2 linked regions of the Caenorhabditis elegans genome follow. The protein of the gene in region 1 interacts with the protein of each later gene in a biochemical or structural test. Each region holds a gene or a part of one and is shown on either strand. Other genes may lie near its edges. The genes, in order: lin-39 and tra-1.

Region 1 (5,071 bases):
GTTTTACTATATTTAGGGTTAAGTTACGCTAAAGTTTCCAGATGCTTATATTCTAGATCTTTTGAACCCTTTTCGTTTGACTTTTTCAGATATAGTTCATAACTCCAATTTTCCAAACTCGCTACCTCTTTTCTCATTTTTCACCAGGCATCCCCCGGTGGTTCAATTTCCTTTCCTTTCATTTCTTTTTTGTCTTATGCTTCAATGTATTCATTACTTTTCCCTCTTTTTCTCGTCATTTGATTAATGAACTTCCTACTGTAACTCATTCTATCTCGTTTCTGTTTGCACTAGATTGGAAGACCAAAAAAAATCAAAATGAGGAATTGTCGAACATCAATTTGTAAAAGAGAGAAGATCCCTACACTTCTTCAACCTATTTTTTCTTGATTCGTGTACCTACAAATGAGTAATTGGATGCCATTCATTCCACACTTCTTGATGCTTCCTGACACTCATAAATCACTGTAAAAGAGACAGGAAATAGACTTGAGTCAATTGCATAATCACTTACTAATCATTTACTCACTTTTTTTTTTTATTTATTACCACAGTGTTATGCAATTCTTATCTCCTTATCTATACTGTGAGAGGTGTGAGGATATTGGATCATTTATAGATTGAGAAAACTGATAATGAAATAAAAAATGTGATGTGTTTGGGTTATTTCCTTTTATAGTACATTATCATGTGTTGTGGCTCTGAGAATTTGTAATTCTCTATGTACTGTTAATTTGAAAATTTTATTTTAATCAAAAAATTAAAAAAGACTTTCAAAGTTAACAAAAGTAACACATTTTAAGTTTTATAAATAGTTTAAATATCTCTGTTTGCATGTTTACAGTAGGGAACTTCTAGAACTTTATTCTTTCATTTTGTAAGAGGCGTTGGAATCAATTCAGTTGCAGTTGGCATTTCTGAAACCTCAAGTTTCGGGAACTTTTACTTTTAAGAACAAGGTGAGGCACTGCTGGAAATCTCGAAGCAATTTCAGATGCCTTGCAAAATCTTGAAAACATATTAAGCGTATGCTTCAGTTGTAGACTTTTATATTTAGGTATCTTGACAATTCCAAAAAATAGTGTTTGGTGTCGACCAAGTATTGATAACATTTAATTTAGCTAGAAATAGCTAGAAGCTTAAATTTTTAGAAAATCTGATCAATGACCTAGAAAAACTTCAACGTTTTTCAAAATTCCCATAACGCCGTTTTAAAATTTCACAGAAATTCGTCTTTTGGTCATTTGAACTTTTTGTGCATACCAGGCATTTGGCTCAAAAAGCGGACTATCAGATGTTGGCAAAAGTTGGTAAGAGCTTTGACAATACTTGTCTTAGACTATGTTGTCGAAACCTTGCTCAATTTCTGCTCAAGTTTTAGCCCAAAGCCGAGATACTCTCCCTTTTTGCCATTTTTCCAATTTTCATGTAACAATTCCATATCTATAAAATCAGAGAGTTCATAAAATTGAGCACATTTCGACTGACTCTTGACAACTTGTCCAATGGGAAAAAGTTGGTCAAGATTTTGTTCCTAAAAGCGGCAACTTAAAAGCGAAAATTCATTCTGCTCAACTCTTCTACTCTTGGAGCCCAAAAGCTTACGGTACCTGTCGTTCTCACCCCATGTCCATCCAGCGCTGTCAGTGATGAATTGAAAAGGCGAGAGCAAGAGATGTGCTCTCGGCTCCACGAACCTCTTTGATCTATGCCGACAGTGGGGGAGATTGGAGAAGAAGCATGCTCCACCCTTCACGTGTATCAGTACGTCTGCGTCTTCTTGTGCGTGCCGCCCGGATTAGAAGACATGAAGTGGGAGGGCGATAGAGGAAATTCCGATGGCAATACCAACAATAGAATTTTGGCAACATTTTTTTACGACCTTCTAGAATTAAGGTAAATCTCTCTTTTTTTAAATCCACTCCTGGCACAAAGCTTCTCAAAGTTCTAAATGAAACTGGAACTTAACTTTAAATAAGTTGAACCTAGAGGTCACCTGAAAAAGTTATAGGAAAATTCTCTACTATTTAAAACGTAGTCTTTAAATTTTGCAAGTTATGTACTTCAAATATCAATTTTCCACCTTTGTGGCAGAAAACGTTTAAAATCTAGTTTATTTCGGAACCCTCTTATATTTTCGCAAAGTTATCGACTAAATTTCAGTATTTGAAACATTTTTAGATACTCGGCTTTGGCTTCTGCTGTTTTTTTTTTGTTGTAGGAATTTATTCAAATTACCTGCGTTCCGAAAAAACATTTTATGTTGCATTATTGGAGAATATACCATTGAAAAATTGAAAACATATCTGGAAGAAATGAGCCCAGATTAGATGTTGCACTTTATGAGGCGTTGCGAAGGCGCCTTTTTACCGTGTTCCCGTTATTCTGCCGATCATTTAAATAAATTGAATCTCACCCTCGTTTAATTTGTGAATCATAGAAGAAAACAAAATGTAATCTTACTTTAAAAAAGCTATTATCACAACTTTAAATTATCCAACTTAAAAGCTTCATTGTCAGGTGTGTGCGACAAATCTACCGAAATTGCTGAGTTCGTCAAATTTCGAGGATTGCCCACAGCCTCAATATTTCTGAAATTTCATTTTGTAATCAGTAGTCACATAAATATTCAAGACATGGAGAATGTGTGGAATAGTGTTAGGTAACATTTCAGAGCTTAGGCCTACAGAGAAAACACATAAAGACTTCTAGTCCATACTTCTTCTTGACCTCATAGATTGCTTACTAGTTTATATAAAGCTATTTAGAGCAATTATCCAATCTTATAAGGTAAAACCCGCGGGTCTTAAACCATGACCACCCACTTGAGCACACCCACAAAAACAATTCGTCTCTCGCAGATTGCTCCTCAATTTATCACCATCATCTTTTCTCTCTCCATTTCCAACTCTTTACTTTTCTTCTCTTTTTGTTCTGTTTCCGTTCTTAAGCTTTTGTTGTTTTCCTAGTTTTAATGATTTCCTAAGGATTAGGTACAAGTAGTTGATAGGTTGATCTAATTCCTTTTGATGAATGCAGTAATTAAAAAAAACAAGGTTCTTAAATTAAAATTTAAAATCTATCAAACGGTAATTATTGCTAATTCGTGTTCTGAAATTTATTGGTTTCAATTATATGTGCCCAGGAATTTTAATAAATTTTAAAGCTCTGATCACCTGTAAAAGAAATTGATGGTTGCTGAAAGTTCTTCAAAATTTTAAGAACTGAATCATCGTATTTAACTTTTGTGTTGAAAATTTGGGCTCTTGGGAGATATTGATCCGGTCATTGATTGCGATTGTACACGTATCTCTGAATTCTAGACTAGCAGCACAAATTGTTAGTTTTCTTGCTCTCACTACAATTGTTCAAATTTAAATACCTATTCTACTAGTTATTCGGTTTTTGAAGATATGTAGACTTTAGGAATATCTGAATGATCTACTTCAATGAAAAAAATTTGATCTCTTTTTTTAACTACTGCATTCATCTCTATCGTCCTCTTATTCTATTCCCTCATCCCTTCCGCTTTCTGAGACTCCACCCTTCGTCCAATAGGAGAAATGGGCGGGATCGGGGAAGGATGGCGCCCGGTATTCTGTCTCTTTTGCAATGGAAGAAAAGAGGAGAAAGAGGGAGACGTCACATTTTTAACAAATGTTCAACCGCCCCGACGCGCCTCTCGTCCTCATTTATTATATCACCTCGTTTCCCCTCCCTCCCCTCATCTTTTCATCTCTTTTCAATCAATTCTTATCAATCACTTTCACTCGTTTTCACTCCAGATGACCACATCAACATCACCGTCATCCACAGATGCACCGAGAGCTACAGCTCCTGAATCAAGCTCTTCGTCTTCATCCTCATCTTCTTCATCATCATCCACATCTTCTGTGGGTGCATCTGGAATTCCATCATCTTCTGAATTATCGAGTACAATTGGATATGATCCAATGACAGCGTCTGCTGCACTTTCTGCTCATTTTGGAAGTTATTATGATCCGACTAGTTCTTCTCAAATTGCTTCATATTTTGCCTCAAGTCAAGGACTGGGAGGTCCTCAATATCCAATACTCGGAGATCAGGTTAGTTACGAAACTTTAAAGGTAATTTTTAAAACAGTATTATATTTAAAAAAAAAACACTACAAATTTAAGTAGATGAAATGATATTTTAGAAAAGTTCAGCAATTTCGAATTTCGTAATCTTTTTAAGTTCTCTGAACGTCACCATACTTTAAGCAAGAGTTGGAGCGTTATAGTTAGGAAGCTCCTCTATTGGCAAAAATTAAATTTGTGTAAAATTTTAATAACTAAAATAGTGTGTGATTCGGGATAATTAAAATAAAGGAATGCTCACAGATTTATAGAAAGTCACAATTTTTTATTTGCCGCACTTTTGACAACCTTCAAATAATTCTAGTTTCTGCAAAGCGCTGAGACCGATTTGGTTAACTTTTGCTAATCGAATTTAATTTCTGAAAACAAACCATTTTGAAAAATAAACAGGTGCTCAGAGACAATTAGTTCTTGAAACATTTCGGGTCCATGTGGAATTTAAATTTCTTGAAAGTTTTTTTTTATTTCATCTGTTTTTTTTTAATTCAAAAGTTCTAACACCCTTTTGGCGCCTCCCACTGGTTTGAAACTTCTGTCATTTCCCGCCAAAAATTGAAAATCAATCAATTCCTCAGCGTTTCTGAAAATAATCTGACAACGCGATCAATTTTATTTTCTCTTTTGAAGTGAGTGGACTGGCGCCTGGTGACTACCATTGGAAGAGTAGGAATTGAAATAAAATTTATGAGAACGAGTTACAAAATGGAGAATAAGAGGAAGAAGAGTATTCAGATTGAGATTAATGATCGTTCCATCGATTTTTGTACTTTTTTAGATTCACAATTGGAAGCTGCAAAAACCTCCAAGCACTGGTACTAACTATTTTTAAATATAAAAAAAGGTTATTTGAAATGTGGATAGTTTTGATAAATATAACAAATTTAATGCTCAACAGGTAGTTATTTTTAGCTTTAAATTCGATTAAGACACACATTTGCTAAAAAGTTTTTGAA
Region 2 (5,084 bases), 3.7 Mb from region 1:
TTGCCTGAAATCCTCAATTCCGCCAATTTGCCGGAAATTTCAACTTTCGGCAATTTTCCGATTTGCCGGAAATTCCAAATTCTGGCGATTTGCCGAATTGCCGGAAATTCCAAATTCTGGCGATTTGCCGAATTGCCGGAAATTCCAAATTCTGCCGATTTGCCGGAAATGTTCAACTCTGCCAATTTCACCCGATTTGCCTGAAATCCTCAATTCCGCAAATTTGCCGGAAATTTCAACTTTCGGCAATTTTCCGATTTGCCGGAAACTCCAAATTCTGGCGATTTGCCGAATTGCCGGAAATTCCAAATTCTGGCGATTTGCCGAATTGCCGGAAATTCCAAATTCTGCCAATTTGTCGATCTGCCGGAAATTTTAAATTCCGGCAACTTTCCAATTTGCAGGAAATTTCAATTTCCGATTTTCCGGAAATTTCAAATTTCAGCAACTCGCTGATTTGCCGGAAATTTTAAATTCCGGCAATTTTCCAATTTGCCGGAAATTTTTTAATTCGGTTTGCCGAGCCATTTTTGCCCAAAAATTACAAAAATTTTTGAAAAAAGGCGGTGTCTAGAGTCGAAAATCGCCCGTTTTTTTAAATTCAAAAATTTTTTCTAATAAATGTATATTTATAAATTGTGGAATTTTCTATTTTCTGTGGAATTTTTTGGTCTAAAACTGAATAATTTCTCTAGAAAAGCTGAAAACGGGTGGTCCATCCGACTCCATCGGGCGATTTTCAAAGAAAAAATGTGGGTGCAAATGCGCTCTAATGCGAATTTCTTCCGCATTTTTTTTCGTTAAAACTATTCAAATTGCCGCCGAATCGCGCGGTCATTCTCAACGGAGCGCGATTTCCCGTACCATTTTCGGTTTTCACGTCGCCACCACCAGGTTGTTTGTCCTCCGAACCCATTTGCTTGGCCTGGAAAATTGTAAAAATTGATTTAAAAAATTCATGAGAAAATCCAGAAAGGGCCCAAAATTTTAGGGAATTTCTAGATAAAATCCCCTAAAAAATGAGCTTCTGACTGAAAAAATCCATATTTTTTTGCATTTTCAGGGCGTGCTAAGACCCAAATTATACTTTTCTGACCTCCTCATCAACCGCGGCGGGGGTGTGCTCGGCGGTGCCAGTGTAAGAGCAAAAGTGCACGAGAACTTCAAAATAATATGTATGTATTTTTATCGGAATTCTCTGTCTCTCGAATTTTGGATAGAACAACTCCTTATCAGTCGAGCGGAAAAAAAAAACGACGTGGCAGGAGCAGCAACAGCGCCCAGCGAAAAAAAAGTAGTGGCGGAGCAGTGTTCGATGATCAGAGGAGCAGAAATATTCGGGCGGTCTAGACGAGGTAACGGTGGTGATATGAACCCGAAAAAGGAAATGAGAAACATGTAGAGCTGAGAAAATTGAGAAGAAGAAGAAGAAAAATATAAATTCTCACGGTTGGACAACCCAGAGACGAGAAAATCGACAAGTTTTTGGCGGGAAAATTTGGCGATTTTCGAGGGAAAATCGATTTTTATATTTTTACAAGTGCTGTAAGAGTGTCTCATTTCGGCTTGATCTACGTTGATCTACAAAAAATGCGGGAAAAGAGACGCACACTTTTAAACTGATTTTGCATGGTTAAGAACGTGTTATTTTTTTGGGCAAAAAATTCCCGCAATTTCGTAGATCAACAAAACGTGATGGGACAGTCTGGCACCACGTGTTTTTATAGGACCGCAGAAAAAAGGTCCGGGGTGCCGCCGAAAAAATGTTCAATTTTCGGTCTGTTTTTTTTTTGAGCAAAATGAGCAAAATTTGAAAAAAAAAACCGGCAGGCCTGATTCAGGGGTGCGGGGTACTTGCCGGAATTGCCGGAAATAATATTTTGGAAGTGTTTTTGAAATTAGACGCCTAGACATGCATTTTTTTGACCCGACTACAGAAAGCCCCATTTTTTTCAGATTTTTGTCGTTTTTCCTGGGTTTTTTAAAGGAATTTCTAGGAATTTCTCTTCCCCGGAGCCTGAGCCTAGGCCTAAGCCTATGCTAAAGCCTAAGCCTAAGCCTAATCCGTCGCCTAAGCCTAAGCCTTAGGCTGAGACTAAGCCTCAGCTTAAGCCTATGTTTAAGCCTGAGCCTAAGCTTAAGGTTAAGCTTAAACCTATGCCTAAAAGCCTAATCCTGAATCTAAGTTTAAGCCTAAAAGCCCAAGCCTAAGCCTAAGCCTAAGCCTGAGCTTAAGCATAAGCCTAAGCCTAATTATAAGCCTAAAAGCCTAAGCCTAAAACTGCGATTTTCAAGCTCAACATGTTGTCAAACTCGAATTTTTAAAATTTTTAAGTTTGAATTTAATTCTTTAATTCTGATTTAATTCTGAATAAGGCTAAATTTTTAAAATACAGTTAGGTTTGAAAAAAAAGCTTAAAAAGTGGGAAAATCAACAAAAAATTGAAATTTCGGACGTTTTCAGTTCAATTTTAAGCGAATTTCGGTGAATTTTTCCGGAAAACCACTCCTGGTACGTGAAAATTCGATTTTTCTCAAATTTTTGTGATAAATCTGCTTTTTCGAAAAGTTTTTGTCTGAAAAATGTGCATTTTTCCAAAAATCTACGAATTTTGCGGTAGAGATACCGGGATTTCGCTAGAAATGTTCGATTTTTATGGATTTTTTTTTCAGCTTCACAAACTTACACACTGATCGACAAGCTCCACCTTATTCCACCCATTTGCATTCTTTTTCTTCGAGAAGCTTCCACGACGTTGAGCCTCGACAACCGTATCGGGATCCTGGAGAGAATTGATTTTTAACGAATTTTTAATGTGAAAATTGTAAAAATTAGTTTTTTAATTCAAAATTCCTCGAATTAACCTCAGTACTGGGGGCCATCATGCCGCCGTTTTCGTTGTTTTTGATTTCCTGTTGAATTTGGAGAGTTGCGTTGAAAATTGCTTGACGCGGGGGCTCTTGATGCTCCAAATAGTGTTGATTATTTAGAAGATGACGTGGCGAGCCTCCTGGCACATTCTCTGCAAAAAAAATCAATAGATTTGAAGGATATTAGGCAGAAAAATGAGAAGAAAATCTTTAAATTTAAATTTAAAATTCAAAGAATAGAGTTCGTGGTGAGACCCATCGCAAGAATTACTGCATGTTCCTTTAAAACTACAGTAAGGCTCGATTAATTTTAAAAACTTTTTGAATGAGAATTCGCCAATTTTTCAGTGAAAATCAGTAAAAAATTGGGAACTGTTAAATATAAAAATACATGACTTTTTCAATTTGAAAGTTTGGAGCCAAAAATTTTCAAATAACGGCGCAGAGAAATTAATTGTCGGGTGGGTCTCGGCACGATCGTGGTGAGACCCGCTAAAAACATGGAGAACAAATATTTTGAGTTTTCCAGAAAAAACAACGACAAAAAAGGAGTCAAGGCTTGGGTGGTTTTTTTTTTTGAAAAACCGTGCACAATTTTCAGTACTCGACTGATAGCACATATACATAGGAGAGAAGAACATCTAACCCCCTTGGCGATGCGAAAATAGCATACGAGACAGAGAGACGCCGTACATTGGTGGCGTAACTGATAAAAAACTGATAATAAGTCTCAAAACCACCGCGGGCACTAGGCGCCAGCGCCGAGAAAAAGTAAGAAAAAAATAAAAATGTTGAGAAGAGGGGGAATAGTACTGTATCTATAGCCACCGGTCTTTTTTTTTGGAATTTTTTCGTTTTCGCGAACGGAAATTCGCAAAAAAAGGGAAATTGAAAAAGTAACCAGTGAAAGTGATTGGGAGGATGATATATATTGATAAGGGAGACCGGTGGAACGTGAGAATTTTGAATTCCCGCGCTGGACTACGGTAGGAAGGCGAAATTGGGATTTTTTGAAAAACTCTGGAATTTTCGAGTAAATTTCGTCTAAAAATGGAAAAAAATGTTGCGAAAATATTCTAAATTTTCTTTGAGGCGACTGTAGTTTTTTTTATTATTCGCCAAATTTTGAAATTTAATGCAAAAAGGTGTGCGCCTTTAAAGAATACGGTAGTTTCATTTTTTTTTGGAGTTTTTTTTTTGCCCAGTGTTTATTGTTAGTTTTTAAATAAATAAATAATACATTTTCAAAAATTGATAATAAATACCGGAACAACGAAAGTTTCAAAGTACAGTAATTCTTAAAGGCGCAAAACCTTTTGGCATTCAAGAAAAAAATTTTCGTGCCAAGACCGAGTACCGTATTTCTCGCGGAAAAAAATCGCTAATAATCGCGTTTGTGTGATATTTTTCCGCTTTTAACATTCAAATCAGGTGTGGGCGGAAAACAATTTTTTATCGGCAAACGGCCAATTGGCATTTTGCAAAATGAAAATTCCGGCAAATCGGCAAACCGGCAATTTTTTCGATTTGCCGGAAATTTTTTGAGCAAATTCTATGAAAATATCTAAAGAAAACGGGGAAAAACTTCAAAAAGGCACAGTTTTAAGAGTTTCCGGCAAATTGATATCCGGCAAATCGGCAATTGCCGGATATGAGAAATTCCTGCAAATCGGCAATTTTTTCGATTTGCCGGAAATTTTTTGAAAATTGTAAGCAAACTCTATGAAAATATCTAAAGAAAACGGGAAAAAAATTCAAAAAGGCACAGTCTTACGAGTTTCCGTCTTATAAAAAATCTGTCTAAAAATTTTCGGCAAATTGATATCCGGCAAACGGCAAATCGGCAATTTGGAGAAATTGAAAATTTCCGGCAAATCGGCAAGGTTTGCCGATTTGCCGTTTCCGAACGGCAATTAGTTTTTTTTTTTAATTTTTGAGTATTTAGTTTTTAGGTTAAATTCGACTAAAAAATCTTAGAATGTTTTTTTTTCCAATTCAACATGAAAATTGCTTTTTTTTAAAAATTAATTTCGGAGAAAAGAAGCAGAAAAAAAATTTTATCCACAAAAATTCGATTTTTACGAAATTTTCGAGATTAGAGGTACCAGTTCCGAAAACGAAAGTGTGAGTGGCCTTCGGGATTAATGTTTTCTCAGGCGGATGCTTACAAGTTTGTCCTTGACAAGGTATTTTTCCTTTTCTGAACCATTTTC

The links.
Region 2: the proteins of lin-39 (region 1) and tra-1 form a complex in vitro, tested with the Caenorhabditis elegans proteins (one study listed by BioGRID).

What each region holds. Positions count from the first base shown.
Region 1 is NC_003281.10:7,533,415-7,538,485, reverse strand, and holds the start of lin-39 (Homeobox protein lin-39), read left to right. Parts: upstream 1-1,853; 5' UTR 1,854-1,896; intron 1,897-3,785; coding exon 3,786-4,085; intron 4,086-5,071. UniProt on the Caenorhabditis elegans protein: Transcription factor.
Region 2 is NC_003281.10:11,192,178-11,197,261, forward strand, and holds the start of tra-1 (Sex-determining transformer protein 1), read right to left. Parts: upstream 3,025-5,084; 5' UTR 2,887-3,024; coding exon 2,866-2,886; intron 2,784-2,865; coding exon 2,688-2,783; intron 926-2,687; coding exon 865-925; intron 1-864. UniProt on the Caenorhabditis elegans protein: Plays a major role in controlling sexual phenotype. Terminal global regulator in a well-characterized cascade of sex-determining genes. Promotes female development. Interacts with tra-2 to promote spermatogenesis.